7 linked regions of the Rattus norvegicus genome follow. The protein of the gene in region 1 interacts with the protein of each later gene in a pairwise test. Links are inferred from orthologs where the notes say so. Each region holds a gene or a part of one and is shown in the gene's direction. Other genes may lie near its edges.

The links.
Region 2: the proteins of Mtus2 (region 1) and Ccdc198 interact in binary tests that used the Homo sapiens proteins (3 or more experiments, as listed by UniProt). The two-hybrid records come from large-scale screens. The link is inferred for Rattus norvegicus from reciprocal best matches to the Homo sapiens genes MTUS2 and CCDC198.
Region 3: the proteins of Mtus2 (region 1) and Tead4 interact in binary tests that used the Homo sapiens proteins (3 or more experiments, as listed by UniProt). The link is inferred for Rattus norvegicus from reciprocal best matches to the Homo sapiens genes MTUS2 and TEAD4.
Region 4: the proteins of Mtus2 (region 1) and Scnm1 interact in binary tests that used the Homo sapiens proteins (3 or more experiments, as listed by UniProt). The two-hybrid records come from large-scale screens. The link is inferred for Rattus norvegicus from reciprocal best matches to the Homo sapiens genes MTUS2 and SCNM1.
Region 5: the proteins of Mtus2 (region 1) and Rhpn1 interact in binary tests that used the Homo sapiens proteins (3 or more experiments, as listed by UniProt). The two-hybrid records come from large-scale screens. The link is inferred for Rattus norvegicus from reciprocal best matches to the Homo sapiens genes MTUS2 and RHPN1.
Region 6: the proteins of Mtus2 (region 1) and Kat5 interact in binary tests that used the Homo sapiens proteins (3 or more experiments, as listed by UniProt). The two-hybrid records come from large-scale screens. The link is inferred for Rattus norvegicus from reciprocal best matches to the Homo sapiens genes MTUS2 and KAT5.
Region 7: the proteins of Mtus2 (region 1) and Psma1 interact in binary tests that used the Homo sapiens proteins (3 or more experiments, as listed by UniProt). The two-hybrid records come from large-scale screens. The link is inferred for Rattus norvegicus from reciprocal best matches to the Homo sapiens genes MTUS2 and PSMA1.

The regions. Positions count from the first base shown.
Region 1 is NC_086030.1:11,744,629-11,747,663, reverse strand, and holds part of Mtus2 (microtubule-associated tumor suppressor candidate 2), read left to right. Parts: intron 1-461; coding exon 462-559; intron 560-2,179; coding exon 2,180-2,393; 3' UTR 2,394-3,035. UniProt on the Homo sapiens protein: Binds microtubules. Together with MAPRE1 may target the microtubule depolymerase KIF2C to the plus-end of microtubules. May regulate the dynamics of microtubules at their growing distal tip.
Region 2 is NC_086033.1:25,003,544-25,008,144, reverse strand, and holds the start of Ccdc198 (coiled-coil domain containing 198), read left to right. Parts: upstream 1-1,602; 5' UTR 1,603-1,654; exon of another isoform or gene 1,655-1,664; intron 1,665-1,747; 5' UTR 1,748-1,751; coding exon 1,752-1,971; intron 1,972-3,219; coding exon 3,220-3,302; intron 3,303-4,601. UniProt on the Homo sapiens protein: May be involved in tuning the metabolism, energy expenditure, and excretion processes.
Region 3 is NC_086022.1:163,255,400-163,259,890, reverse strand, and holds the start of Tead4 (TEA domain transcription factor 4), read left to right. Parts: upstream 1-1,548; 5' UTR 1,549-2,057; intron 2,058-4,491. UniProt on the Homo sapiens protein: Transcription factor which plays a key role in the Hippo signaling pathway, a pathway involved in organ size control and tumor suppression by restricting proliferation and promoting apoptosis.
Region 4 is NC_086020.1:185,390,971-185,395,585, reverse strand, and holds the start of Scnm1 (sodium channel modifier 1), read left to right. Parts: upstream 1-1,763; 5' UTR 1,764-1,874; coding exon 1,875-1,925; intron 1,926-1,977; exon of another isoform or gene 1,978-2,030; intron 2,031-2,143; coding exon 2,144-2,214; intron 2,215-2,476; coding exon 2,477-2,565; intron 2,566-2,661; coding exon 2,662-2,756; intron 2,757-2,860; coding exon 2,861-2,949; intron 2,950-4,615. Other genes in the region: Lysmd1 (lysM and putative peptidoglycan-binding domain-containing protein 1), read right to left, coding at 784-963. UniProt on the Homo sapiens protein: As a component of the minor spliceosome, involved in the splicing of U12-type introns in pre-mRNAs. Plays a role in the regulation of primary cilia length and Hedgehog signaling.
Region 5 is NC_086025.1:109,279,001-109,282,890, forward strand, and holds part of Rhpn1 (rhophilin-1), read left to right. Parts: coding exon 1-170; intron 171-581; coding exon 582-738; intron 739-815; coding exon of another isoform or gene 816-818; coding exon 819-926; intron 927-1,259; coding exon 1,260-1,454; intron 1,455-1,962; coding exon 1,963-2,039; intron 2,040-2,190; coding exon 2,191-2,337; intron 2,338-2,421; coding exon 2,422-2,583; intron 2,584-2,952; coding exon of another isoform or gene 2,953-2,967; exon of another isoform or gene 2,968-3,013; coding exon 3,014-3,187; 3' UTR 3,188-3,890. UniProt on the Homo sapiens protein: Has no enzymatic activity. May serve as a target for Rho, and interact with some cytoskeletal component upon Rho binding or relay a Rho signal to other molecules.
Region 6 is NC_086019.1:212,329,420-212,334,083, reverse strand, and holds the start of Kat5 (histone acetyltransferase KAT5), read left to right. Parts: upstream 1-1,690; 5' UTR 1,691-1,695; coding exon 1,696-1,707; coding exon of another isoform or gene 1,708-1,806; coding exon 1,807-1,873; intron 1,874-1,944; exon of another isoform or gene 1,945-2,057; intron 2,058-2,193; coding exon 2,194-2,262; intron 2,263-2,350; coding exon 2,351-2,487; intron 2,488-2,746; coding exon of another isoform or gene 2,747-2,773; coding exon 2,774-2,929; intron 2,930-3,018; coding exon 3,019-3,093; intron 3,094-3,376; coding exon 3,377-3,451; intron 3,452-3,828; coding exon 3,829-4,077; intron 4,078-4,152; coding exon 4,153-4,242; intron 4,243-4,664. UniProt on the Homo sapiens protein: Catalytic subunit of the NuA4 histone acetyltransferase complex, a multiprotein complex involved in transcriptional activation of select genes principally by acetylation of nucleosomal histones H2A and H4.
Region 7 is NC_086019.1:177,884,905-177,889,353, reverse strand, and holds the start of Psma1 (proteasome subunit alpha type-1), read left to right. Parts: upstream 1-1,496; 5' UTR 1,497-1,584; coding exon 1,585-1,587; exon of another isoform or gene 1,588-2,067; intron 2,068-3,040; coding exon 3,041-3,085; intron 3,086-3,371; coding exon 3,372-3,473; intron 3,474-3,581; coding exon 3,582-3,685; intron 3,686-4,449. UniProt on the Homo sapiens protein: Component of the 20S core proteasome complex involved in the proteolytic degradation of most intracellular proteins. This complex plays numerous essential roles within the cell by associating with different regulatory particles.

The DNA.
Region 1 (3,035 bases):
TTCTGTCTCTCTCTGTCTCCATCTCTCTGTCTCTGTCTCTCTATCTCTCTCTGTCTCTCTCTGTCTCTGTATCTCTCTGTCTCTGTCTCTCTGTTTCTGTCTCTCTCTGTCTCTGTCTCTCTCTCTGTCTCTCTCTATCTGTCTGTCTGTCTGTCTGTCTCTCTCTCTCTCTCTCTCTCACACACACAGAGAGAGAGAGAGAGAGAGAGAGAGAGAGAGAGAGAGAGTCTAAACTATGTACCACAGTGCTTTTTACTACCAACAGAGCACACTCTGGCATTTTCTGTTCTGTCTTTCTGAAAAGAGCAGTGCTGGTCCCTCATCCATCTCCCCTGATTTTCCCGCCCACAAAAGCTTTGCACAGAGCGGTTAGCAAAGTCCTGTTCCTGGAAACCCTCCAAAGTGCAGAAGCCAAGGCCACTGATCCAGTGGGAGTTTCTTCACTGGTGTCTCTTTCCTAGGTGGAAAAGAACATCATCCTGGAAGAAAAGATCCAGGTACTCCAGCAGCAGAACGAAGACCTCAAAGCGAGGATCGACCAGAACACGGTTGTTACCAGGTGGGTGAGCCCAGTTTCTCACTACGTCCTTCTCAAAGTGGCTTTCCCGGAACATCCGCATGTCCCAGTATCCAGTCTGAACAATCTCCTGGTGCCTCTCAGTTGATCAGAAGAAAAGCAGATGGCCGTGACCCCATGGTACACATCCCAGCTCTGCATCCCAGCCGGCCCCGTTCCCCAGAAGTGAGTGAGGACCTCAAGCCCAGGAAGCAGGGGCCCCAGAGCAGGAAGATTTCATCCCAGAGATTAGGAGAAGAGCATCAGCTAAAGTCCCCAGCTAAAGAGAACCATGGCTAGGTAACCCCAATATTCCAGAAAATCGGGTCAGCTCTTCCCTATAGGCTCCTGCTTTCAAGGAAGGATTGGGTCACTCTTGACCCCAGCTCAGAGTGCAGTGAAAACGTCTGTGGCGTCTGTGGCTGGCTGCAGGTTATTATACTGGGCAAGGCTAAGTCGCCCGAGTGAGATGGAGGCCTTCGCCTTTTCCCATTCTGTTGGACCAGACTCCTCGGTGTGGCTATGATATGTTATCCTGTGTACACCCATGCTTATGTGCACACACTCATGTATATATCCATTCACGCGTGCTCACACTTACACATACACTGATGCACGTGCATGCTTATACACTGGCATGCCACTTGTTCACACGCCCACACATACCCAGCCACCTTTCCTCAGACAGCAAGTGCAGGCGTCAGCCCAGAGTACCTTTCTGGGACTTTAGCCCATCCAGTTGTAAAATGTATTTGTACTTACTCTGGCCGATTCCTGAAAGCAGCGATCACTCTCTAAAACACAAGTTGAAATAGACAGGTGACTCCGTGGTTAAGAGCACTGGCTGCTCTTCCAGAAGACCCAAGTTTGATTCCCCGCACCTACCTGACAGCACACAGCTATCTGTTAGAGTTAACAGTTCCAGGAGACCCGCGCCCTCTTCTGGCCTCCACAGGCATTGCATGCAATGGTTCTCGGGCATGCACGCAGCCAAAACACACACATAAAGTACAAAAATTACCAAAAACACGCAGCAAAGCCAGCAATTTAAGCACCATGACATCACACACACACACACACACACACACACACACACACACACACACACACACGATTGCTTTCTCTCCCCCACCCCCGACCCCCGTTATCAACCGACGGTGATCAAACATCTATTTTTCTGGATGCCATGCTGAACGCCAGCCAAGAACATAACAGAGTCTTGACCCCTGCCCTCTAGGACTTGTGGTCCAGCAGACAGACATGTAGACAGACCGACTCTACAGCCGAGCTAATGACTTCAATCGCAGAGGCACGTACTCAGGGCTGGAGGTAACGGGAAAATATTCCCGGCTGATTGGCGCTGTTAGTCAGTACCCTGACCACAGCCGTAGACAATCTCCATAGCAACCCCTCCTATGGGCTGTAGCAGCAGCCCACGTGACCTACCATCTCCCCCACTTCCTACTCCAGCCTCTAGCCTTTCTTTGCTCTGTGCACAACTGCCCCCTAACCCAGCAGAGAGACCTGCGAGCCTGGGGAATTGCCCCCGGCCTCCGCCTATCAGCCTCTGTCACTAGTACGCCCAATGGTTCCCGCTGCTAACTACCATTCTCCCCCACGCAGACAACTGTCGGAGGAAAATGCTAATCTCCAGGAATACGTGGAGAAAGAGACCCAGGAAAAGAAGAGACTGAGCCGAACCAACGAGGAACTACTTTGGAAGCTCCAGACTGGGGACCCGACCAGCCCGATTAAACTCTCCCCCACATCTCCGGTGTACAGGGGCTCCTCCTCTGGACCCTCCTCTCCAGCCAGAGTCAGTACCACACCTAGATGACATCACCCTGCCACCCACAGGAGCTCAAGCTTCTGTCCGTCCGAGGGAGTGCTGGCCGGTGCTGGTGGCTGCCCTGTGCGCATGCTCAGTAGCTGCATACTGCATCTTAGGCAGAGTCCTCTCTGACCCTCGTGTGAGACCGTCCTGGTATTGGCGCTTAGGAAGGCGTAAGCAGCAGAGTCTGGTGTCCAAAAGCAAAACACAAAAACAAAAACAAAATGCTTTAGTATAGTTAGAAGCAAAAGAGAAACAGCTCCAATTGTTCCTGAGAGACGGAGTTCCGCAGCGGAACTTTAGGTCAGCCACAAACAGCTCCGTTTTTCGAATACTCGAAAACCCTCCTTGCACCGCTGCGGGTGTGTATTCAGATGCGTGGGTACACACCTGCGGCGACTCCGAATTGCTTTTTTTTATATATATATACATATATAACACACGATGCGCTGACATATTTTAGCGACGGTCAGCAGTTTTCTAACTTGTGCCTAAGAATTATTGGGAAATGAAAAACGCATTTCTATCTAGTTTCCTGGAGATATTTCTACCCAAAATAGAAAAAAGAAAAAAAAAAAAGAAAAAAGAAAAAGCAAGCAAGCAAGCATGAGACCAAGTGGTACCCTGCTTACCCTAAACACCAGCGAT
Region 2 (4,601 bases), on another chromosome or scaffold:
TTAAGGATGAGTGGTCCAGCCTAGCTTGTTAGAGCGGCGAAGGCCCAAGCTCTAACCCTACCAATTCCTGTACTTTTCTTGGGAATCTCCAGGCCACATTGCCTGTGGAGCTGTGCTAGGCTAGGGGCTTTGATTGAACACCTTTAGAAATGGTATATTTGGCTCTTGCTTCCTGATTCTTCTCATCTTCCCCAAGTCCTCATCACCCTCTTTTCTCTGTGCCATTCCTCTTAATAATTGTTACCCTGGCAAGGTATGATGGCAATGCCTATAGTCCCAGCACTTGGAAAGAAATGGGATCATCGATTTGAGACCACCATGGGCTACACAATGACCTGAAAGACAGTCTGAGCTACACAGCAAGACACTGTCATAGAAGACAAAATAGGACTGTGCAGATGGCTCAGTCAGTCCAGGGTTTGCTGGGAAACCATGAGGTCTTGAGTTTATTCTCATAGCCCATATATAAAGCCAAGCACAGTAGTGTACATTTATAATACCAATGCTGGAGAGGGAGAAACAGGCAGATCCCTAGGGCTTGCTGGCCAGCCAACCCAACCCAATAAGTCAATGGGAGAGAAACTCTGTCTTTAAAAAAAGAACAAGGTGGATGATGTCTAGATGAGTAACACTCAAGGTTGACCTCTGGCCTGAACATGTACACACACAACCACACACACATACACACACACACACACAAGAAAACAAAACAATAGCAAAGAAAACAATAAACACTTGCACTGGATGTAGCTTTCAAAGAAATTAATCCTTTCTGAGTCTCATTTCTCATTTCCTAATCACCATGATAGCTCTTTAGCAAATAGATTTCACAACATGGAAAATATTTTTAAGTCCTCTATGGAGGTATGCCAAAAGCACCTGTGATCTGTGGTCATGAACAATTCAAACATGGACATGAGTTCCATTCTGAGTAAAGGACTGAAATAAAAATTACCCATAACGCCATTACTCAAAGCCCACTGTTCAAGACATTGGCACATTTCCCTCCATTTTCTTTTCTACTTGAAAAAAAAGGACATAATAAATAGGATCTATTTGAAAATGGTTTTTATTTGGATCAGTTATTTAAGAAATTTGTTCCTTCATTCCCAGCAGGGAGATTAGGAAAATTTCCTTACTGTTTTTTTCATTCTCCTGTAATGTACTCATTTCCTTCAAAGGTAGCTTAAATCATTGACAGAAAAATCAGATGAAGCATTATCTGCCCCTGCTTCTTTTCCTAACTGGAAGACATATTCTCTAATTAAAATTATAGATTAGCAAAGCCCTAACTCATTAGCATCTGTCCTCTCATTTCTAACAACTTAGCTTATCCAGGTTGTTAGTACTTCCTAACATGTTTACTATGAAAGGGGGCCTCTAAGACTTCTCTAAAACCCTGTTCTGTGTGTCTGGTAATGGCCTGGGGTTGGATACTTGTTTAATGATCAATGAAAGCTTCTCTCCATGTAACTGAGTTTTTCAGAGAGTAGAATAACCAAGTCAATGTTTAACTGCATTCTTTAGTTCTGGAATGGCAAAGTAGAAGTTGAAGGGAAGTCTCCATGGAAACCAACCTCCCAGGAAGTGGCCAGAGAAGTTAGTGTCAGGGGTACAGAACAGGGAGGATGTCATGAAGGAAACACCTGCTTTGGTAAGCCAAGGTAAACTCCTGAAAATACTTAAATCAAGCTCTGTAAAGGCTCTCAAGCCCTCTCCATCATGGTTTTCTTCTCAATATTTCAAGGAACATGGGCCTGGGCCACTCCAAGACTCACCCTCAGGTGATCAAAGTCACACCTTTACAAAGCCAAGAAGCGAAGACACCCTCAACTTGCCCCGTGTTCTTTGCATTGAATCGGAACCTGGAAGAAAAAAGTTCATACTCATTCACGAGACTGCAGGAGCAAAATCGAACTCTGGAACAGCTACCACCTCTTAGAGAAACCTGGTATGGAAGACTCCCTGCAGGTATGGCAAAACCAAACATGAGAGCTGCATGTCTGGGACTTGGGAGGGCTGTGGTACATTTACATGACTGTCTCCATGATCTCTGGAAATCTAGATTATTGAAATGTAGGAGAATATTTTTCACTGAGGACTGATTGCTTGTCAGATGAATGTCTTCTGTTAAATTTAATGCTTGTATCAATTCTGGATAAAGTGCTTTTCACCCTTCTGTATAAGGGAACACCGTCTGGTTTCACCTGAGTCTGTGGTGATTTCAATGCCTATGCCCACTTCCTTGTGCAGTCACAGAGAATGTTGACAATCGCAAAGGCCACAGAAATTACAAGGCCACATGTGCTAAATGGTGACAGTAGTGCTTCAGTTGGGAGTCTAAATTTAAGCTGTTGTCTCCATGGGGACTTAATGCATGAGGCTTTATAGTTTTGAGAGTAGGAGGAGTGTAGGAGTAGCCCTCTCCAATGCGAATTGTGAAACCAACCCAAACAGAATTGATTTATTACACGAGAGACAGTGGGTGAGTCACCCTTCCTTAACCCCATGTTCTTCATGGTCATCACAGAACTAAGAAACTTTTTCCCACACTGATGGGGAAGCTCTGGGCCTAAAGTGGCTGCAAGTTGTTCTTGGATATTGATTATGATGTGTAAAAATGTCTCCTGGTGACCATAAAGATAATTAAAACAGATATGCTGACTTGGGATGAGAAATCCATGTTTACATGTGTTATCTGGTTACATATTCCATACATTTGTGTCATCTTTTATCTTCTTCACACTCCGTATCAATAACACAAATGGACTCTTCTTCCCTTCATTTGGGGAATGGGGGAGGATTTCATGCTATTGAACTTGTGAGCTGGAGTTACAGCTCAGAGATAGAGCACTTCGCCTAGTACATGTGAGACCCTGGATTTCATTTCCAGTACAGAGGGAGATGTCTTAAGACTAATCGGTAAGTTTCTATTTTCCAGGCTAAATTCTGTGTTTGAGTAATACCTGTGACCAGTACATAGTTAACTTTGCATTTTTTTGCCAGCCCGGGGTGATACAGAAAGAATAAATCAGACTAAAATGTTGTCACCTGCATTCGTGCAGGAGCCCTGCTCTGTGTGTCTCCTCTCTGCATCCAACCAGTGAGTTAGGCGTGTGTAATTGAAAGATGCAAACTGTGTAGATAGTCACCCTGGATGCCTAACTTGACAATAAATTAATGGTCTATTATTATTGCCCCTCCCCCCAATCTTTCAAGTATCCAGGGCCGTGTATCTAGACATCCCACTGAAACATGAAGAAACGAGTATTATCAAAAGGCATCCACCCCGAAGAATTCAAGTAAGATGAATTTAAAAGTCTTCTTAAGGAATGTCTTTAATAACTTACACCCCTTTTCATCCATAATCATAGAAGAACCTTAAATGCCTTGTTAATGAGATGCAGTTACAAAGAATATTGACGGTTGCAAAGGCCATAGTATTAGAATTTCCTTTAGCAGTGATGTCACTTCTGAGGCTCATAACCCCCTCCCCAAAAGGATGTGAACAAGGAAATAGACAGAGATTTAAAGGACCCAAATGTAGCACTTGGTTGGCTGAACATTTGAAAATGGCAGTTACTACAACTATTTAAGTCAAACACTACACAGGCCTCTGATACTTCTACCCTTTGGTGTAAATGTCTCCATCTCCCCTTAGTCCCATCCTTTAATCATCCTAGATGTTGTAAGCAGTTGTTGAAGTTAGGGACTCTAGAGCCAGATATTGTCGTGCATCACCTTAACCCTAGCCCTTGGGAAGCAGGTGCAAGCAGATCTCTGTAAGTTCAAGGCCAGCCAGGGCTACATCATGACTGACTGAAAGAGAGGGGATAGGGGAATAAGGGACATCAGAGAAAGAATTTTTAATGCGTCCACCTTGATTTAAAATTATTCCCTTTAGAGAAGTATAAATTCCAATAGGACAGCTCATCCTAAAAAGAGAAAGAGATCAGAATGGGTCCTTGGAAAAGAGTGTCTATGGGGTTCTCTGTGAGCAGAACAAAGGAAGTAGTCAAACCCTTGCCTGCCACATTCAGCCAGATGCCCAGACTGGTTCCAGGGGTTAATGGAGTTCTTTGTTGAGGACTGTTGTCTCAGTCGGTTCTTACGGACTTGTCTTCTTTGAAAACTCAAAATTACTATGAAGTGATTATTACCTTTAGTTCCAAAAGAGCATTTCTTCCAGAAATTTTAGAAAGTGCAAAGATAATGTTTAGTTCAAGAAAAGTAAATGGTAAATGTAATTTATCAACGTCTAATTTAAAAATATGAGCGTGTTTCTAGCTTAGCTGAGAATCCTAAAGCCGACTTTATTCCTAAACTAAGTACGTCCTCTCAAGGGAGTATTTAATACATGTCCCTATGAGTCCCTGACACTGGCTAACTCAAACAGAAGAAATAGCTACAACCAGAGAAATATATTCATATGGTACTCTCTAGACCACAGAATAATTTTAATATTTATCCTAAATAGGATAAGGTTAGGTTTTGATTCCCCTAAATTCAAAAAGAGGACATGGATATTTCAGAGTCTGACACTGTACCCGCAAATTAGCAAACCACCTTAAGATCAAAGAATCAAGACACATTATCTGAGC
Region 3 (4,491 bases), on another chromosome or scaffold:
CACCTCTCTTAATCTTGGTTCATGCCGGGTTTTAAGCTCCTGCTAGGATTTCAGGTGTGTACCACACCACAGGTGTGTAACACCTACTAGGTGTTCGGCTCTTTTTCTACACATCAAACCTTCCTGAAACACCAGTTGGTAAAACTCATGTTTCCATCAAGAGCTGAGTCAAGGTCGCCCCACAGATGTGGTAAGCAAAGACCCGTACTGTAGATGGAGTCATCTATCCCAAGGCTGAGGCAGGAGCAGCTGACAGAGTTCAAGGTTAACCTGAATAACTCTAATAGACCTGATCAGAAACCAAAGCACATCAAGGCTGGGGCCACAGCGCGGTGGTAGAGCATTGCCTAGCACACACAGGGCTGGGAGTAGACATCAAACTGGTTAAAGTCGCCCCTTTGCCTTGAATTGCATTGGTTTTTGTTCTTGAATGTGGATTTGCATTAACAATTACTGTCTTGCTTCAACCGTGAACTTCTTGAAGGCAGGGGCTTCTGCACTTAGCTTGGCAGCGGAGTCAAGGAAGGGCTGCTGGATTAAGTGGTGGGACAGTTTGTACTCTACACTCACAGATACGCTGCCCTGCGATGTCCTTTTCATGCGAATGGGATGTGCCCAAGCTTTGATATGACTCACTATTTAATAAGCATACCAGAATTTATACATCCAAACGAGGGCTGCAATCCTTCAAAGTCTTCCCTTTGTAAGACGGGATTCTCAGTCCCATGATGCTGGCATTTCCGCAGACTCTTTAGATCCCCTCTCTTAGGTACAACCCTGGCATTTATAACACTTACTTTTCAACGTCTCCCAGGCTATCCTTCCCTCATTTATTACCTCCATCTCCATCTTGAGTTGTTCGTGCTGGGTAAACGCTAAGATAGATCTGGAGAGTTGCCGCCTTCCAGAGTTTGTTTCACCAGATCAGACTGGGAGAGCCACGGCAATAAAAATTTAATGATAGTGCTTCAGAGATTGTTTGATTTGGGGGGAATAGCAAAGGCTTTTCTTTGATTTTAAGTTTCCCAAAGTGAAGAGGTGAGTGCCGGAGCGAGGTAGTAACTAATTGCTTTAAGCCAAATGGTTCTAAGACTCCTAGCCCGAGCCCACGTGTTTCTTCTAAATTGATCTGACGTACTTCTTTGAAACTCAGACTTCTAACTTCATGGCCAAGCTGTCCCGGACCCTGGGTCATCAGCAGCTAAGTTCCAGCTCTCTGTGAACCACTGCTGGGACCCACTCTTTATTATTGTCCCAGCATCCGGTGGACCTATTCACAGGATAAAGATTCATGGAGTTACAACAGAGTCCATGACGGGTCTCCCCTTTCTTCCCTGCTTTCTGAGAAGTGACAGTTCTGCAGATCCCAAGGGACAAGGAAAGAACTGAAAGGCTGATGTTGGAGAGGGCTGGAGAGGGAAAGCGGTGGCGGATCTGGGAGCAGAGCCGGGAGTTCCTGCTTCCTGCTCCCGGAGCGAGTGTCCTCCGTAGCAGCCTCGGGGAAGGGAACAGCCCTTCCTGCTCCGGTCCGCGTACTCCAGGAGCACAGCGAGGCGCGCCCCACCCCGGCGGAGGGGACGGTTTTTAGCAGGAGGTGGTGGAGGGATTCAATGCCACTCGGGGATGTGGGAAGCTGGAGGTGAGCGGGAAATCCGTAGATCACAGTCAAGGCGTGTGGGCACGAGTGGCCAGAGGCGCCGAGGGGTCCGCGGGGTTCTCGGGTGTCTCCGTCGTGCCCCGTCCCGTGGTCGCCCGCGGTCCCCCGGGCTCCGCCCAGCCGCGGAGCCCAGCCTCTCTCAGGCCGGGTCTCCTCCCTAAGGTGCGGGTGGCAGCGCCACTCCCTCCGCTCCCTCCCCAGCCGCGCGCGTCTCATTCCAGCGCCCATTCCGCGCATTCCTACCGGGCTCCTCTGCAAACTCCGGCCCCGGGGGTGGGGACCGCCTCAGCTACACGCTCGGGCCCCGAAGCCGTCGCCGCGGCTGGAAGACTTGGCCCCCCGCGTGGACTTGGTGCAGCCGGCCGAGCGCTCCCACCCCGCCTCCTGAACCCTGGGACCGGTAAGGCTGCTGAGTTCGGGCGACATCCGCGTCCTGCATGGTCTCGGGCAGCACTAGGGGACCAGTGGGGCACGTGGGGGCGGCGGAGTCCAGAGACTGGACAGAGCAAGGTCGCCTGGCAGAAGTTTTAGAAGTTGGAGACTGATGAGCCTCAGTCAGGCCCTTTTCTACTTTTCAGCCTGGAGAAGGGAGCACAGAAGGGAGGTGTGTTGCTTGGACCTTCTGCAGAGGTCCTCAGGGTTTGAGACGCCGTGGGCCCTATGGGTGAGAAGTGATGGACCATTGCTCCCAAACTCCAAGGCACTCTACTCTAGCAGGCAGCCCAGGGGCGCGCCGCGGTGCACACACGTGTCAGGGGGCTCCAGGCACACCCACATCCATCCCACTCAGTGAGTTCAAGCGAGGTATTACTTACCTGCGCCAGCATCCTTAAGTTTTGGGTGTACCTGAGGAAGAGATATCTGCGCGCTGTGACTCACCTTGCTTTCAGGAGGTGTATTTGTTTGTGCTAAACAATGCGACAGTGAGTGCATTGCTACTTGAAGAGGGTGCTGTCTGAAACCCTAAGTGTCCGGGTGGGTGTGTGATGCCTCCTCTCCAACACCCCTCGTCGCTCTGAGGATGTTGGTTCTGGCTCTGACTTCTTGCAGAACCGGAGCAGGGGACAATGTCTCCAAGTTCTTTGTGTTCAGGGAGAATTTGACAGTAGTAGTTGGAAGTGTCCCCTCCCGGCCCTCCCGCCCCCCACTCCTCACCCCAGCTCTGCTGGGTTGAGCTTTGCTGGCAGGAAGCTGCCTACACCTGCCCCCCTTCCAGGCAGCTGTCTTTCTGAGGGAGTGTGGATCCTGTTCTGGCGGAATCCTTTAGGGAACTGCTGGTAGGCTAAGCAAAGCTGAGATCTTTGCCCCCAGGGGCTAGGATGGGTTGTTGGTAACGTTTATGGGGGTGGACCCTCTAAAAGGAAAGGAGCTTGTTAGGTTGTTTTCTTTTGAGACAGAAGTCTCTTGTAGTCTAGGCTGGCCTGGTCCTACTACCCCAGCAGGAGGTGGCTTTCATTCTCCTGCCTCAAAAAAAAAAAAAAAAAAAATTACAGACTGGAGTCCGTAGGCTTAGCTGACCACATGGGTTGTTGGATAGTGTTTGTTGGGCGGTTGATAGAGTTTCAAAGTTGCCTTCAAGGACAGGGGTGTTAGTGTTCTCTCTGTAGGAACCTTGAAGCAATGAGGAGAAGAAAATCTCTCATTCCTGAATAGCCAGGGTCTTGCTCTGAAACCCAAGCTGGGTTCAAACTGGATATCCTCTGCCTCAGCTTCCCCCTCATTCTTCACAGTTAGCTAGATGACCTTGTTTCTGTGGGGAAACTTGATAGCTCACTGTAGGAAAGCTTTAGTGACAGGAAGGTGAGGGCTGCCTCCGACTTGGTAGCTGAGTCCAGGATCTTGACAGGACGGTGGTGTGAGAGTCACAGACTTGGCATCAGGGTTCTCCCTCATTAACACAACACAAAAGTGATGGCTGTGGTTTCTCGGAAGGAAGGAACAGAGAACCATGTCAGGAGTGAGGGGGAGGGGCTCTTGTGTTTATCTTTCCTTCTCTCCTGCTGATGTAGATAGTCAGCTGGGACATACCTCATATTCCATACTGCTCAGGCCGTGTCCACAAGGGCAGCTCTCATGGGGTAGGGAACACACAGGTGTGGGGTCAGACAGACCTGGACATGAATCTTGATACTCACTACCTTTAAGGCTCTTGGGCTCCGTTTCCTGATGAGTAACATTGCGGGGTGGGAATGAGGGGTGAGTAACTAAAGCCAGTGCAGAAAGCTTGCTCTGAAAATTCAGTGTCTCTAAAGCGTCTGTTAGCACATCCCAGGGCCCTTGGAAATGGTGTATCCTATGTTTTCCTAAGCTTGCTTTGGCAACCCCCTCCCCCTTCCCCTTCATTCCAGGGCCCTTGGAAATGGTGTATCCTATGTTTTCCTAAGCTTGCTTTGGCAACCCCCTCCCTCTTCCCCTTTTCATGTTGAGGATTGGACCTGGAGTCTTGTAACATGTGAGACTAGAGGATTTTGTGTGATTATTCTCTGGGCACCCTTTGGGCAACCTCACCACGTATCATATTTATTTTGCCAACATGAATTGGGCATTTTCTGTGGGTCCCGTGCCATGGGGAGGCTTCCACCAGATAACATAATTCTCTAGCTCCCATATTCTCATTTCTACTTTTGCCTGCTCTCAGGACATTTGCTGAGCACTGTAGGATCCTCAGTCAAAGTCCAGGCCCAGGGTGGGGAAACTGAGACCCAGGGAAGGACCATAAGGTGTTTAGAATTGCACAAGCTCTGAGTGGCAGAGATGGGACTGGAAGCTCTTCACTTTGGATTATGTCTCCTGCTTTGTGGACCCTATCCACTTTCATCTAATGGTCGTGGAGA
Region 4 (4,615 bases), on another chromosome or scaffold:
ATAATCTCCACTCCCACTTCCAAGCAAAAACCAATAGTTTTGGATCTCCCGCCCCTTGTGAATGTTCTTTACAGCAGTGTTTCTTCTCTGCTCCTCATGAGAATTTAAATTACACGAGCACATCAACCAACAGGTGTGCTTTGCTTTAAGTAGAGCAGCATGGGAATTTGTCTAAGTCCAACATTTGTTTGTATGTGGTAAAACAGGATATAGACAGGAAGGCTGCAACTTTAACGGAAGATATTTGTATGTCCATCAAACCTCTCCTAGGTCTGACCTGAAATACTTGAGATATGTAGAAGGCACTTGTTTTGTTTCTCTACATAAAGAGAGCAGAGCCCTGGTGTGGAAATAAGAACTACAGAAGGCGCCTTAGGAGCTCTACTAAAAGTCAGCTCTTCTTTACTTCTGTAAATTTAGATTTAGTCACTCTCATTATTTTTCCCCCTGCTTGGCTAATAGCATGGGCTTTAGAGTCAGACAGACCTTTCTTCTGACACTCAAGTGATTTGACCTTGATCAAACTGGTTTATCAGTCTTAAGTTGATAGGGGCACAAGGTCTGGTTAATGGCTGAAAGCCCCGCCCCCACTCACCCACCTTCACGGGAGCTGCTCCTCCCACTGGGATAGCTGGGCAGATCTGGCCCAATAGTACTACACAAAGATGTGAAAGCAAAATAAGAAAAAAACAGGCCATAATATAATTTGGGTAATGTCAGAGGTGGTTGCTTAGCGGGCCACCCACTTTCTCCTGGGGACTACCTCAATCCTGGAAGACTCACCGTCACCCCGTATTTGAGTGCTAATCCAGCCAGGGTGTCTCCAGGCTCCAATTGATGCTCCAGGCGTCTTTCCCTCACTGGGGAGCAGGATGATTGTACCAGGCTTCCATAAGAACGAGCACGGCTCCCACGTAGCAGCCCTGACCCTCCGAGGGGAGGCTGTCTAGAGGGCGAAGCCATCTCCTCACTTCCAAGATCTAGGGTCACAACTGAGGAAAGCCCAGCTAAGTGACCAACAGTGACGGCTGAACCCAGAGAATGGATATTCAGAAAATTCTTTTTCTCTTTTCTCTTCAGTCTCCCGACTCTCGAGAGACTACATTCGTCCTCCTCCTCTCGATGCTTCTTACGGAGCTCGGAATTACAGTTCGTATCTTAAGAAGTCTTCCAGGCCGGTTACATTTCTTCTTCCTCAAGCCCCTTACCCATAAATATCTTCCCTGAGTTGTCAGTCGCTGACCCCGTGGACTTTCGACGCCCCCTCCCCAACTCCTCGCAAGCCTGATCTCTGACCTTTGAACCCTAGACACCCTCATTAACACTCTTCCCTCAGTGTGTCCCTACATCCAACAGTCAGGACGCCGGGAGCCCCCACATCCTCTCTGTTCCAAATAAAACCCACCCCAGGTAGGTTGTGGCTGAGGAGGACGAGCCTGAGGACTACAAGTTTGCAATATAGAGTCCACTGAGATCCCCCGAAGCCTCCCTCCACCTCAGGAGGGTCCCACCCTGAAATTCCGGCTCCACGTACAGGATCTTGGGTCTCCAAACACCTGGATCCTTCGAGATGCGAGGACCTGTGTCCAGGTGAGCGGTGTTCTCTCCAAAAAAATTAAAAAATAAAATAGATAACCAAAAGACTTCATTTCCCAAAAGGCACAGCGTCCAGGCAGTATCATAGGAAATACAGATCCCCTCAGGGCGCTGGAGGCGGGTCTTCCGGCTTGCGCGATGCATGCGTGGAAAAGCATCCCCGGAAGTACAGACTCAGAAAGAAACCGGAAGCAGAGAAGGCGATAGTGTACTCTTCCTACGGTGGCCTAAAGGAGCAGCGAAGTAGGCGTAGAATTTATCATATTCTCATAGTCGCGATGTCTTTTAAGAGGGAAGGGGACGACTGGAGTCAGCTCAATGTGCTCAAAGTAAGCCCTAGTGAGAGTCACCTGATCACCTTCAGCCGCCCTGTTGCTTTGGTTTGTTGCTTTGGCGACATCTAGGGGAGGGTGTTAGGGGACCAGAACTGAGAGGTGACCCCATTTTCTACCCTATGATCTGCATGGCCCCGTGCCATTTGACTCCTCTGTATTATTTAATATCCATCCGTTCCTCTCATTCATTTCTTCTATCCTGCTTCCTGCAGAAACGAAGAGTTGGAGACTTGCTAGCTAGTTACATCCCCGAGGATGAGGCGCTGATGCTGCGGGATGGACGGTGAGAGCGAAGAGTGGATCAAGCCTGGGGATTCGGGGATCAGAGGCTCAACAAACTTTTGTTACTAAGGAGTTCAGGAGTATAATAGTATTCTTTGGCTGGAAGTGAAGGGGTGGAGATTGGGAAACCTGGGAGTTGGAGGAGTGCTATGACAGAAGTAGGATCTACTCACCATAGCAAGTACACCGCGACTGCAGGCTGGAACACAAAACACACGCGCACACGCACACACACTTATAATTCACTTTTCTTGTTTCCCTAGCTTTGCTTGTGCCATCTGCCCCCATCGACCAGTACTGGACACCCTGGCCATGCTGACAGCTCACCGTGCAGGCAAGAAGCATCTATCCAGTAAGTTAAGAGAAGTAGGGAGGGCGGGAGATAGAGAATGAACTCTTGACATTTTGGCAAAATCTTTTCATTCTCCCTTGCTTTTCTTCTTCCTAGGTCTGAAGCTTTTCTATGGAAAAAAGCAGTCAGGCAAGGGAACAGAGCAAAATCCACGACCGCAGAACGAACTGAAGACAGAAAGCAAAACTGAGGTGAGGGCATCAGTGTTGTTTAGACGGGGCTATACTGCACGCAACAGGCATGAGGGGCCATTTGCTTCTGACAGCTTTGACTCACTCTCTTCTCTCATTGTCAGGCTCCTTTGCTAACCCAGACTCGAATAATCACCCAGAATGCTCTACACAGAGCTCCCCACTATAACAGCTGCTGCCGGAGGAAGCACAGGTCAGTGGAATGAGAAAGCCAGGAGTGGAAAAGGGTAGAAGCAAATAGATGACTTTAAAGTTATTACTCTGCAAACTGTCTTCTGAGAAATACTAATCTTGTGGAAATTTTTTTTTAATGACAGTTAATGATTTTAAAATAAAACTTTAGGAAATGGAATATTGTAGCATAATCCTACTTAAAAATAGTAACATTAAGGGTTGGTGAGAGAACTCAGTGTTTAGGAACATAAGGGGCTCTTCAGAGGTCCTGAGTTCAATTCTCAGCAACCACACAGTGGCTCACAACCATCCATAAAGGGATCCGATGCCCTCTTCTGGTGTGAGGATGTACATACAGACAAAGCACTCATATTTAAAAATGCATAAATAAATACATTTTTATAAAAAGAGGGGGCTGGAGAGATGGCTTAGTGGTTAAGAACACTGACTGCTCTTCCAGAGGTCCTGAGTTCAAATTCCAGCAACCACATGGTGGCTCACAACCATCTGTAATGAGATCTCATGTCCCCTTCTGGTGTGTCTAAAGACAGCTACAGTAGACTTATATATAATAAATAAATAAATCTTTAAAAAAAAAAAAAACTAGTAACATTAGCAGGGAATGGTGGATGGTAGTACACTTTTTTGTTCCTTTGTTACTGAGACAGGGTCTCTCTTTGTTGCCCTGGCTATCCTGGAACCCTGCTATTTAGACCAGGCTGGCCTAAATTCAGAGATCTGCCTGTCTCTGCTCCTCAAATGTTGGGATTGAAGGTGAGCAGTTCCATGCCTAGCTTTGGAAAGTCTTAATACAAAAACTTAGAACTGTATTTGTCAGGTTCTCTAAAGTCACAGAATGTATAGAATGTCTCTCTATAGTGAGGGAATTTATTGTGGTGACTTACAGTCTACATTCCAACTATCCCAAAAAAGGGTAGCTGTGGATGGGAAGTCCAAGACCCTAGGAGTTGCTCAGTCCCATGAGGCTAGTTGTTTCAGCTGGTCTGCTGTGGACGTAGATTCCAACAGATGTGCTGGCAAGTCAGTGCAAGCAGGTGAAGAAGAGTGAGTCTTCCTACTTCCAACGTCCTTATGTAGACCTCCGACAGAAGGTGTGGCTCAGATGACGGTGTGGACCACCACTCCTGGATCTGGGACTTGCTTTGTTCCAGGCTGACCTTGAACTCAGAGGTCTCCTGGCCCGTCTCCTGGGATTAAATGCCTGTACTACCTTGCCTGGGCCTAAGCTTTTCATGGCCACTGTGGCTCAAGATCTCCATGCCAATATCCAGATCAGATACTTGTGTCTTCCAACCTCAAGATCTGGATCACAGATGTGCCCTCCAATTCTGGATTGTAGTTCATTCCGGACATTCTCAACTTGACAACCAGGAATAGTCATTACAAACTATTAAGCTAGTTTTTCCTTAAATTCCTTTTTTCCCTTTTATTTTTTATTTTATGTGCATTGGTGTTTTTACTGTATGTATGTCTGTGAGAGGATGTCAAAGGTGAAGTTTAAGATACTTGTGTGTTGCCATGTGGGTGCTGGGAATTGAACCCAGGTCCTCTGGAAGAACAATAGCCAGTGCTCTTAACCATTGAGCCATCTCTCTGGCCCCAGCTTTTCTCAAGTTCCTAATTTCAAGGTCTTACATATGTAGAATATTTAAGATCTTAAGGAA
Region 5 (3,890 bases), on another chromosome or scaffold:
ACTTCTCCCATGCGCCAAGCCCGGACATGAGCGCCGCCTCTCTCTCCATGCTGGAGCAGCTCATGGTTGCTCAGGCCCAGGAATGCATCTTCAGGGGCCTCTTGCTGAGGGCCTCGGCCACACCTGACATCTGTCCAGATCAACTGCAGCTGGCTCAGGAAGCTACCCAGGTGAGCTCAAGGAGCCCCAGCAAACTGGCCAAGCAGTGGCCACTCAAAGAGTGAAGAGCAGAGCTCAGGGGGACAGAAGGGGGCTGGGTTGGAGCCAGGTCAGGGAAGGCTGGGAAGCCGCCAATGAGGCATCTTCATGGTGTTTCACGTCAATCCCTAAAGCCAGTTGCTGTCCCAGTTTTTGTGAGGTTCTGAGAATGGGAATCGAGCCCCCAGACGCCCAGGTCTGGGCCAGCTCGGAGTCTAGGGAGAGGCTGCTGGAACGGGAAGCGGAATAGATGGAGATCGAGCCTAGGGTGCAGAGGCAGGAAACTTAAGCTGTCTTCCCCGGGTTGACTGGCCCTATCTCTTGAGCTCCGTGGGCCGGGGGGAAGGCAGAGGCTCCATTTGTACCTGCATGCCTGTTGGTAGGTGGCGACCGAGTATGGGCTTGTGCACCGGGCCATGGCCCAGCCCCCCGTCCGAGACTACCTGCCTGCCTCCTGGACTAACCTGGCACGTGTCAAGGCTGAGCACTTCTGCGCCCTGGCCCACTATCACGCAGCCATGGCCCTCTGCGAAAGCACCTGTGAGTGTGGCACTCCACATGCCCGTGTGTACCCACAGAGGTTCCCTGCTCAGGCTCATGGCCTTTCTGAACCCCAGCAGCAGCCAAGGGTGAACTCTCAAGGCAGGAGGACATCTTCCAGCCCTCAGCTACCTGTGAGCCCCAAGGTCCCACACTGCCGCAGCACCCAGAAGAGCGCAGGAAGCTTGGTGAGGCATCACAGACAGGGCCCTGGGCTAAACATAGCACAGGCCCCATCGTCCTCGGCAACCCTCATCCCTGAGTTGGCGGGAACTGATAAGAGCAGGGTTGTTGAACGGGGCAGGCGGGGACATAACTGGGGAAATAGCTCTTTCTTCCCTTGCTCGACTGTTTGGCCTGGCAGAACTTTCCTAGTTTGGCCAACACTGTCTGACCCTGTGGCCCATTCCACTTTCTGATGCATCCTGAGACAGAGGGTCTGGAACTCAGCCTGGAAGGGCCAACTTGCATGCATGGTGTGCGTGCGCATGTGTGTATGACAGTGCCCTGCCTGTGCCCAGCCAAGGCCCACCTGAAGCGTGCCATCCTGGGCCAGGAGGAGGCGCTGCGGCTTCACACTTTGTGCAGAGTCCCGCGCAAGGTGGACCTGCTACAGGTTGTGGTGACTCAGGCACTGAGGCGCTCCCTGACCAAGTACTCAGAGCTCGAGCGTGAGGATGACTTCTTCGAGGCTATGGAGGCCCCCGACATCCAGCGTGAGCATCGGGGGCCCTTTGGGATGGGTATACCAGTCCGAGGGCCAAGCTGAGCCCCTGCAAGCTACAGCTGAGAGGCAGCCAGCCAGCCAGGTGTGGTAACACGTGTCTGTGATCCCAGCCAAGCACCAGATACCCTGAGTCAGGAGGAAAGAGTTGAAGGTCAGGCAGGCTGTGTTGAGGAACGGAGCCTGAGAGGCTATCTGGCCAGCATCCCGTGCCACCTCCTTTCCTGCTTGACTCTTGCAAGGCAAAAGGGGACAGAGGCGCAGTGCCAGCTGGGGTTTCCAGGAGTATTCCTGGGAGCCTCTACATATATTCAGGGAAATAGTACAGCCCCAGCTGACAGTAGGGACAGCTAGGCTTTGAGGTCCTAGGACAGTCCCATGTGAAGTTGTGGGCCACACACTCCTCTGAGCTGAGCCAAATCTCACTGGTGGTTCTGGTTCTGGGAGGGCCAAGGGCCTAGGGCTCGACTCCAATTCCCCTTTCCCTCCTGTCTGGTCAGCCAAGACTCACCAGGCCCCAGAGGTGAGCATACCTAGCCTGTCGCAGGTGAAGGTGACTGACTTCTTCCACAGGCTGGTGAGCAGGCCAGTTCCCCACCTGTCCCTCTTCCCCTTCAGGCCCCTCCCCGGTTCCCGCTCCAGGGTGTGTGGGCTAAGATGGGGTGCCAGACAGATCAGGGCTCTGTGACTGCCACTCAGCCGGCCCTCTACCACTTGTCCCCTCCCAGGGACCCCTATCCGTGTTCTCAACCAAGAATCGATGGCAGTTGGTCGGGCCGGTGCACATGACTCGAGGAGAGGGAGGTTTCGGGTTCACGCTGCGGGGAGACTCGCCAGTCCTCATCGCTGCCGTTGTCCCTGGGGGTCAGGCTGAGGTAAAGGCCCTCTAGCCCCTGATGCTGGGATCTTAGAGGACCATAATGTACTGCCACCGCCTCACTGGTCCACATTCTCCATAGTCTGCTGGCCTGAAGGAGGGTGACTACATCGTGTCTGTGAATGGGCAGCCTTGCAAGTGGTGGAAACACGTAGAAGTGGTCACGCAGCTGAGGAGCATGGGCGAGGAAGGCGTGAGCCTGCAGGTCGTGTCCTTGCTGCCCGGCCCCGAACCACGTGGCACGGTGAGCGCTTGGCCTGGGAAAAAATCCCCAACCCTCAGTCCTATCCAGCCCTGGCCGCGCCCCAACTCTGCCCCGTGGTACCCAGAGAGACAGTGGCCAAGCAACCTTCACTAGGGTTGACTTTCTGGGTACCTCTGACAGGGCCTTCATAGTGTGGCTTCTGTCCTGCTCCAAATGAAGCCCCCAGACCACCTCAGTGGGATTTTGACCCCAGGGTAGAGGTTATCCCAAAGGTCACATCTGTCCAGCATGGCCACTCCAGGGTTGGGTAGCAAGCAGCAAGCAAGGAGCCTCACATGGCCACCCCAAATGCCCCTAACATATCCCTAACACACCTATGGCTCCTAGAGGCCTCTAATCTCTTCTCAGGGTGGCCACAGGTAGGTCAGGCAGTGATGGCTGACTACATCCACTGCTGTTATGACCGTAGGGACCCCGACGGCCAGCACTGCTGTGGAACCAGAGAGAATGTGGTTTTGAGACTCCGACGCCTGCACACACCCGACCCTGGCCCATCCTCGGCTGGAGCCGCAAGAATAAACAAAGCAAGAGTGGGAGCCACCCTGACCCCTGCACCAACAGGAACTGTATCACCTGCCCCTGAGCTGGACACCCCGTACCCCTGTGTGTCCAGGGTGGCCGTGGGGGCCATACTCCTGTGTACACCATCCTGTAGCCAGCCCCAGCTAGCCAGGTGTGCCTAGCGCATTGCCCTCTACTCTGGGGGACCATCAGGCTGCCCCTGCCTGGCTTAGAGATGTCTATTAAAAATGCTGGTCAGATGAGGCAAGTCTGAGTCAGCTACCAGAGCCGTGGCCACTTTACCCCACCCGAGATCTTCTCAGTGTAATCCAGACGCAGTGCTTACACTATCCTCCTGCAGCAGGCCTCTAGGCCCCTGCCATGCCCCATCTACTCTTCGGCTGCCTGACTATCCTCACATCCAGTTTCTCTGGGCACGTACCCTTATGGTCCTATCCTGACTGCGCCTGGTTCATAGTAGCCCTTCTGGTCACCACCCTCCCTTGCTGGTTAGTCAGTTTCTCTGTATGTAAGATCCCAGCAAAGACATTTTCTCTCCAGTCCCCTTATACTCCCCCCAACTTTCAAGCCCCCCTGTCTCCCATTCCACCTGCACCCATGCAGGTCCTGGCAGGTTCCTCAGTAAGGTAGGCCCTGGACTCCAGAGGCACAGGATGGGGGCACCAGGTAAGAAGCAGTCCTAAACTGTGCATGGCTGAAGCCATGGAGATGCTCTCCCTCAAAGGCCCTGGAGGTTCAGCATGGAAACAGAAAGGCTGTATGTA
Region 6 (4,664 bases), on another chromosome or scaffold:
AACACAGTCTACACAGATATCAAATCCCAGTGCTGTTATTAATGCTCCTGTGATGCAACCGAGACCCCTCCTTTACTTCTGCATATAAACTCTTCTCAGAGTGGCCGAATGGACCCAGAACCATTTAAACTGGTAACATTTAGAACAAAGGTCAAAGGGTCTCCCCCGCCCTAGGCACTTTATTACTATCTGTGATAGTGGGGCTGGAGAGATAGCTCAGTGGTTAAGAGCACTCACTGCTCTTCCAGAGGTCCTGAGTTCAATTCCCAGCAACCACATGGTGGCTCACAACCATCTGTAACGGGATCTGATGCCCTCTTCTGGTATGTCTGAAGACAGCTACAGTGTACTCACATACATAAAATAAATAAATCTTTTAAAAAATATCTGTGATAGTTATTCTTGGTTGTCCATTTGACTACATCTGGATTTAACTAAAACCCAAAAATGGAAAAACACACATGTGAACAATTTTTGCCAAGTCTGAAGCAGGAAGACCCACTGGTTTTTGTTGTTATTTTGTTTTGGAGACAGGATTTCTCAGTGTAGCCCGGGCTGTCTTGGAATTTGCTCTGTAGACCAGGCTAGCCTCGAACTCAAGAGATCTGCCTGCCTCTGCCTCCCCCATGCTGGAAGACTGCTTGGTGGAAGACCCACTTGTAATCCAGATCTTTGAGGTGGGAGAACACACCTTTATTCTTGTTACTCAAAGTCAGAAGATACACCTTCTGGTGGAAACTAATGTAAAGACATGAAGCTTTTTCTCCCTGCCACCCCCCAGAGCAGGGTCTCTCTGTGTAGCCCTGCCTGTCCTGGAACTGACTCTGTAGACTAGGCTGGCCTCAACTCAAGAGATTCGGCTGTCTCTGCCACTACCGCCAAGCTGCTTTTACTCTTTGCCTACCTGTTCTCACTCTCATTGGCAACTCCACTCCTTCACTGTCATTATCTTCTTTGGGATTCTGATGTACAATGAAGATCAACTGAGACATCCACTCTCGTTGACTGAATGACTACTGGAATTTTGAACCTTTCCATTTATAGAGCCACATATATACTATTTTAAAAATAAAAATCCAATATTAAGAACTAAAAAATCAGGGGTTGGGGATTTAGCTCAGTGGTAGAGCGCTTGCCTAGGAAGCGCAAGGCCCTGGGTTCGGTCCCCAGCTCCGAAAAAAAGAACCAAAAAAAAAAAAAAAAAAAAGACCAAAGAACTAAAAAATCTTGCTAAGTCCCCAAGCCTGTGCAATAATATGCAGACACCTGGCTAGAATTTTAAATTCCTTCGGTTCTACTGATTCCCCGGGGTCCAAAACCCAACTCCTTAGCCTCCTACTCAGGGTGACACCTCACACTGCCACTATGAGGCTCGCCGGAACACTGCGGCCAGACAAAGCATAAACACTTGATCTGAGTGACCGGCGTCGCACCCGGTGGGCGTCACGTGACAGACTCGGCGTTCCTCCAATCGCTGTGCGAATAGTAGGGATTCCATCTAGTACTTGGCCTCAGGCTTACAACGCCCTGTTGTTCCATTCCTCAACCGGGCCCGCTTTTTACTACCAACCAGCTGGCAGTGACTCTCAAGTGTTTTCCTCTCAAGCAGTTTCGAGGGGCTCGGGCCTATAGCGCACTCAGCTCCGGAAGTGACGTTTCCCAGAGGGGCCGGAAGTGGCAGTGGAGGGAGGGAAGATGGCGGAGGTGGTGAGTCCGGTGCCCGGGGCGGGGCGGAGGGAGCCAGGGGAGGTGGGTAGAGCCCGAGGCCCCCCAGTAGCCGACCCTGGCGCCGCGCTGTCTCCCCAGGGGGAGATAATCGAGGGCTGCCGCCTGCCCGTGCTGCGGCGCAACCAGGACAACGAAGATGAGTGGCGTGAGTGACGTCGGGGGGCGGGTCCAAGGAACCTGAGGGCGAGGGGCGGGAGGGAGTCAACGATCACACGGGAGGGGGAGGGGCTTCTGCAATCCTGGGGCGGTCGCAGATACTCGGAAGGAGGGGCGTGACTTTTGGACGTACGGAGATGATCCGGGCGGGGCTTGGAGAGAGGTGTCACTTGGTGACTAAAGGGGTCTTGAACTAGCCCTTCTAAGTGCTGGGACGTAGACATCCAGCCTAGAGGTGGAATTCAGGTCGAAGGGTGGAGTCTCATGATCTGCCTTGATTAAGACCCCCTGTCTGTGTTGTTCCCTTAGCCCTGGCTGAGATCCTGAGCGTGAAGGACATCAGTGGCCGGAAGCTTTTCTATGTCCATTACATTGATTGTGAGTTCTGGGCCTGGAAAAAGTGGGTTGCTGGATAGGGTTGAGGGCAGCCTCTGGCATCCCTCCTGAGCCATTTTCACTGCTGCAGTCAACAAACGTCTGGATGAATGGGTGACTCACGAGCGGCTGGACTTAAAGAAGATCCAATTTCCCAAGAAAGAAGCCAAGACACCTACCAAGAACGGACTTCCTGGGTCCCGCCCCGGCTCTCCCGAAAGAGAGGTGGTGAGTAGGTCCCCCATTTCATCTTTTCTCTCCTGCCTCTTCCTTCTTGCATCTCTTGGCCTCAGGGGTTCCTGAATGGGCAGGAGGCAGCATTCTTTTGCCATGGCTTCAGCTTGCAAAGGATGGGGACCAAATTGCAGGTGTAGCTTCCAGAGTCCAGTATTGCCTTGCTTTAGAGAAGGCAGAGGGTGGGATTTGATCACTCCATGCTGAGGGGCCCATCCTCCCCTTCGCCATCCCACCACCATCCCCACCCCAGAGGAAGACCCTGGACCTATCTCTACAGCCGGCCTCCGCCCAGGCCAGCGGGAAGACCTTGCCAATCCCGGTCCAGATCACACTCCGCTTCAACCTGCCCAAGGAGCGGGAGGCCATTCCAGGTGGCGAGCCTGACCAGCCGCTCTCCTCCAGCTCCTGCCTGCAACCCAACCACCGCTCAACGGTACCCTCAGCAATTCCAGGGACCTTGCTTTCTTCTCAGGTCCCACCTTCTCTACCTTCTGACCCACCTTTCCTGGTTTCTCTCTGCAGAAACGGAAGGTGGAGGTGGTTTCACCAGCAACTCCAGTGCCCAGCGAGACAGCCCCAGCTTCAGTTTTCCCCCAGGTGAGTCTTCCAGTCTTTTTACATGTATGAAGGTTTTGTCTGTGATAGTCATATGTTCTACTTGCATGCCGGGTGCAATGGCCAGAAGAGGGCATTGGATGCACTGAACTAGAGTTGTGTGAGCCCCATGTGGGTGCTGGGAAAGGAACCCATGACCTCTGGAAGAGCGGGATTCTTAACCACTAAGCCACCCCAACAGCCCGTCTGGTCTTCCCCCCTCTTCTGTCTAGCATCCTCCTCCAGGATCATCTCATGGTCACCCTTTTTCTTCTGTCATCCACAGAATGGATCAGCCCGTAGGGCAGTGGCAGCACAGCCAGGACGGAAGCGGAAATCTAATTGCCTGGGCACTGATGAGGTGGGTATCAAGGAGCAGAGGAAGAGGGAAGCTGGGAAACAGGGAGTGGACTTGGGCATGGAGAGTTCATTCAGTGACCAATTTAAAGCAAACAAGGTGTTAGTTAGGCAGTGAGGGTGTTGGTTGGGCAGTGAGGGTGTTGGTTGGGAGCCAAGCAGATGAAGCATTGGGCTATTTTGTTTGTTTGTTTGTTTGTTTTGTTTTGTTTTGTTTTTTTACCATACCAATTTCTGGTTCTTGGTTTATTTTGGAAAGTGGAGATTATGATGCTTGCCCCTTAGTTGATGGTAGACTTGAAGGAAGAAACCTACGGCAGTGTTGTGAGCCATGTTCTGCTTACCTGCTGTTATCTGGTATTTTCCATTTGCCCTGGGCAGGATTCTCAGGACAGCTCAGATGGAATACCGTCAGCACCACGCATGACTGGCAGTTTGGTGTCTGACCGGAGCCACGACGACATTGTCACCCGGATGAAGAACATTGAGTGTATTGAGCTTGGCCGGCACCGCCTCAAGCCGTGGTACTTCTCCCCGTACCCTCAAGAGCTTACCACGCTACCTGTCCTCTACCTGTGCGAATTTTGCCTCAAATATGGCCGTAGCCTCAAGTGTCTGCAGCGCCACTTGGTATGAAGGGTCTTGGGAGGCTGCCTACCCAGTGTACCCTCACCAGTCCCCACCTGATCCTCCTTTTGTCCTTAGACCAAATGTGATCTTCGACACCCTCCAGGCAATGAAATTTACCGCAAGGGCACCATCTCCTTTTTTGAGATTGATGGGCGGAAAAACAAGGTCAGTGGCTTGTGCATGGGGCTGGAATACATCATATGAACAACCTTTTCCTGCTCAGAACAGTTGACCACTCTGGCTATAGATTAGTTCACTGTTTTTATTGAATGCCTGACGTAGAGCTGGGGAATGCACAGAACACTGGCATTTAGATACATTCTCTTCCCGGAGAGGTCACTGTCCATGGCAGAAGTAGACATACCAGCTATTCAGATCCCAGTGTGAGGAGTATCGGAAACAAAGGCTGGGTTAGCAGAGTTCAGAGGAAGCTGTCAGGAGCTTGGAGGTGTGTATGCCTAGAATTCCAGCACTCAGAGAACTCTGAGTTCAAGATTAGTCTGATATGAGTTCCAAGCCAACCTGAGCTATAAAATAAGAAAGACCTATCTCAGGGAACCAAAGCAAAAACCTGTAAGACAGCAAAG
Region 7 (4,449 bases), on another chromosome or scaffold:
ATCAGTAAGTGACAGTTTAGTATAATCTTATTTTAAAACATATTTGTGAGGCACATGACTATAGGAAAGAATTGTGAAGATTTTTATAACATTTTTAAAAAGAAATCCTAAAAGTAGATGTGCTAATTTGGGTGCTTTAAAAAAACTATTTTATGTATATGAGTGTTTTACCTATGTAGAAGCACAACATGTATGCACAAGTGTCGCTGAAACCAGAAGAAGCCAGATCCCCTAGAGTTACAGATGGTTGTAAATGGCACTCTGCAGTCGGTTCCCCAACTATTTTAAAATCAGCATTTAATTACCCATTCATTCAAAATCCATTGTTCATTCAGCAATACAAATTATTTACCTAATATGTGTTAGGCACTGTGCTGGTGCTGGGCAAACAAAACAGCCCTATCTATCAATTTAAAGTTCAATCCCAGAATCCACACAGTGCAAGGAGATAATCACCAACATTGTCTTCAGACTTTCACATAAGTGTATGCAGGGACACAAACACACAAAAAACATATGTAAAAACAAAAAATGTACATATATACACATACATAAAGATATTTAGAATGTGATACTAATTACTGTGAACAGAGACATTTAAGTGATGTGTTACTCCTCCTTTGAAGTTCAGATCCTTAAAGACCTGACTCTATTCTTCAACAGAACTGGCAGTCTGTAGATGTTAGGTAGATCAGTGAGCACAGAACTGTCTTGATTTCGTTTGGGGATAAATCAAAAGATGCTCTTTAAAAATCCGTAAGAAAACTCGCACCTTCCCCCTAGTGGCCTAATCTATCATATATGGCATTTGGTTGTGGACAGCGAAAATCAAATATCAGAACAGAAACCTGGTCCTACAATGGCAACTAATGATCACAAAATGAGTAATACGACCACGAGACACCAAGGAGCCTTTAAGGATGGGCTCGCCAAGTACTCAAGATATTCAGGGGCCAGGACCACAAACGAACGAACACACACACACACACACACACACACACACACACACACACACACACACACGAGAGGGTTTGGGGAGTGGGAAGAGGGACAGGGGGAGAGGGAGAGAGAGAGAGAGAGAGAGAGAGAGAGAGAGAGAGAGAGAGAGAGAGAGAGAGAGAATGAATGGTTCTGTGGCTTTTTCTGCAACCTCTTTCAGTCGTGCTGCTTCCCAAACCTCTGGGCACTGTGATGAAATCTATGCGGGTCCGCCACACCATCCCTAGCTGGGGGCGATGTTCAGTGGAGTGGACCGAGAGTTGGCGGGAATCTGCAATCCACTGGGGGGGGAGGGGGGAAACACGGAAACACAGCGCTTGACATGGAACCACGCCCCCAACCCTCTCTGCGCACAGGCATTCCCGGGTTTCCCACCAATCCCATTTTATCTGCTTTCGCAGGCCCCGCCCACCCAGAGCTGGAGGGCGGGGAAGCGTTAAACGCTGATCCGTGGCTCTGGGATAGACTGCACTTCCTGCGTCGGCGCCGTGAAGACTCCGCAGCCTTCTTTGACGATCACCGAACCGTAGTTGAGGCCGTGTTCCTGTGTCCGCTGCTGTGTCTGGTTGTAACCTCGCCGGAGCTATGGTGTGTTGAGCCCCGAGTCCTCGGAGGGTTTGGGGCTGAGGTCAGCTGACCTGGTCGGGGATCGGCCTCTGTTCCCTGAGGCGCGGGGCGGTGGGAGAGGGAGCTTACCTCACGGACATGCTCCTGCAGTGATTCAGCATCTGCGGCCTGGCCGGCGGGAAGCGATCAGTAACCTAGGCGGCCTATCGCGCAGCTTCTCCACTTTGCATGGGGTCCAGGCGCTTCTTTCTCGGCCAGCCAGTCGTCCTTCCCTCCCAATTTACTTAAGTGGCCTATTCCAAGATGCTGTATGGTCCTTCGTGATCTGCATAGGAGAGAGACTATAGGGGTGAAAGGGTGCATCTGGCATCGTCAGTGCAGACCAGAGCCTGCAGTCAGGTCTTCAGACCAAGTTCATCTTCCTTGTGGGTGTATTTGGCTTTATCCGTCTCATTAGAGTGCCGTAGGGAAAGGCTCCATACAATCATTTTGTTTTGTTACCTAGAGATGAAAGAGAAAGTGATAGAATCAGGTTTACAACGTAGGGCCCTGGGCTGCTTCTGTCGAGTCTGCCATGCAAACTCTTGGTCTTTTTACCCTCATGAATATTATACTCCCAAGGGCCGACAAACTTGCTTTAGTAATGACATTATAGCTATAGTGGTTCTGCCACGGTAGCTATTTGTGGCCACCTTTTTACTGAGAATTCGTGTGTTTGTTCATCCAGTGGTAAAGTACAGGAAGAAAGCTCAAAGCTAAGCCAAACGTAACTTTAATCATACTATAAAGATAAAAAGGTATGTAAAAGACCGGGTGTTGTGGTGCTTGAGTTTAATCCCAGCACTCAGGAGGCAGAGACAGGTAGAATTCGTGAGTTTGAGGCTAGCCTAACTCACAGTGAGTTCCAGGACAGCCAGAGTGTAGAATCCGAGTCGGAAAGAGAGAGAAGGGGGAAAAATATATATAGTTGAGCATGATGGCAGACACCTGTGATCTGAGCACTTGGGAGGCTGAAGCAGGACTTCAGGATCATTCTCCCAGGTATATAGCAAATGAAGGCCAAACTGGGCTGCATGAGACTTTAGCTCTGCTGGAAAATTGTGCTGAGAATTTTCGGAAAAAAGAAGAAACCTTCAAGAGATAGACATTTAAGTCGACTTAAAGAAAAGCCCTTTGCCAAATTATTAGAGCCCTGTGTAAGAGAGTAGTATGAGCAAAGTGTGCATTCTTTAGCACTTGACTGCCCGAGGGAAGTGCTATGGAGAATGGCAGAATATGAAGGTAGGAAGACCCTAGTCCATTCATCCCGACAGCCTGTACATGATTAAGGTAGAATTGCATTGCAAACTGAGCACTCTAATAGTGTCTCAGGAAAGCTGCACTAGCAGAGAGGCTTCAACAATTGAAACACATGTCTTATTGTTAAAATTTGAAAATTGTAATGTTCTCATATTAATCTTTCTTCCACTTTCAGTTTCGCAACCAGTATGACAACGATGTCACTGTTTGGAGCCCTCAGGTAAAATGTTTTATGACCTATTAATGAAGTGACTTTTCATGGCTGGAGTAGGGTCAGAAACCTGTGAGATCATAAACTGGGCTTGGAGGTTCACATTGTAATCTTTTAATTGGTCAGGAGGCCAGAGCCATAGGATCATGGAGTTGGTGGGCAGTTTGAGCAACTTAGTGGAACCCTATTTTAAAAAAGGAAACAAAGCTTGTGAGCTTATGGGCTACAAGCTTAAAGTTAGAATTAAAATTAGTTTATTGGTTTCAAAAAGTGAAAAATATTATTTTGTCTTTAGGGCAGGATTCATCAAATCGAATATGCAATGGAAGCTGTAAAGCAAGGCTCAGCGACAGTCGGCCTGAAGTCGAAGACACATGCAGTGCTGGTCGCGCTGAAGGTGAGTGACATGATGACCCTATCTTCCTCCCTCAGGAGCCAGAGCTATCAAATGTAAATTTCACTGATAAATAATCAACCTCCAAACTAAAATGCTGTGTCTATTTAGAGAGCACAGTCAGAGCTTGCCGCTCACCAGAAGAAAATTCTCCACGTTGACAACCATATTGGTATCTCAATTGCGGGTCTAACTGCTGATGCCAGACTGTTATGGTATGTATGATTATGAAAAATTAAGCATCGCTTTTCGTTTTTAATAGACTATTTTATTAAAAAATACCTAGATAAGATATAGGAAGTCATCTCCCAGAATATTATACTTTTTAATTGTTTATTTGTGTGGGTGTTTTATCTTCATGTATGTATGTCTGCACTAGTGTGTGTCTGGTTTCTTCAGACCTTAGACTCCCCTGGTATTGGGGTAACAGAAGATTATGAGCTTCCATGTGGATACTGGAATTGAACCTGGGACCTCAGGAACCTCTGAGACAGTTAAGCTATCTCTCTAGCCCCCAGAATATTAAAATTTGTAATATTGTAAATACCTTAGTGGGCTTGGGTGTGTAACTAAGTATTTCTATTTCCTTTTTTTTTTTTTTTTTCGGAGCTGGGGACAGAACCCAGGACCCAGGGCCTTGCGCTTCCTAGGCAAGCGCTCTACCACTGAGCTAAATCCCCAACCCCATATTTCCTTTTTTTTTTTTTAAGATTTTATTTATTTTATGCATATGAATACAGCTTCACTGTCCTCAAACATACCAGAAGAGGGCATCGGTTCATTACAGGTGGTTGTGAGCCACCATGTGGTTGCTGGTTGAACTCAGGACCTCTGGAAGAGCAGTCAGTGCTCCTAACCACTGAGCCATCTCTCCAGCCCCCATATTTCCTAATTGTTACAGTGCTATTAAACCTAATGGTTTTGAAAGTCCCTAGATGTGATACTTGTTGACATGTATATTGTTTCAAGCCTTTTATGC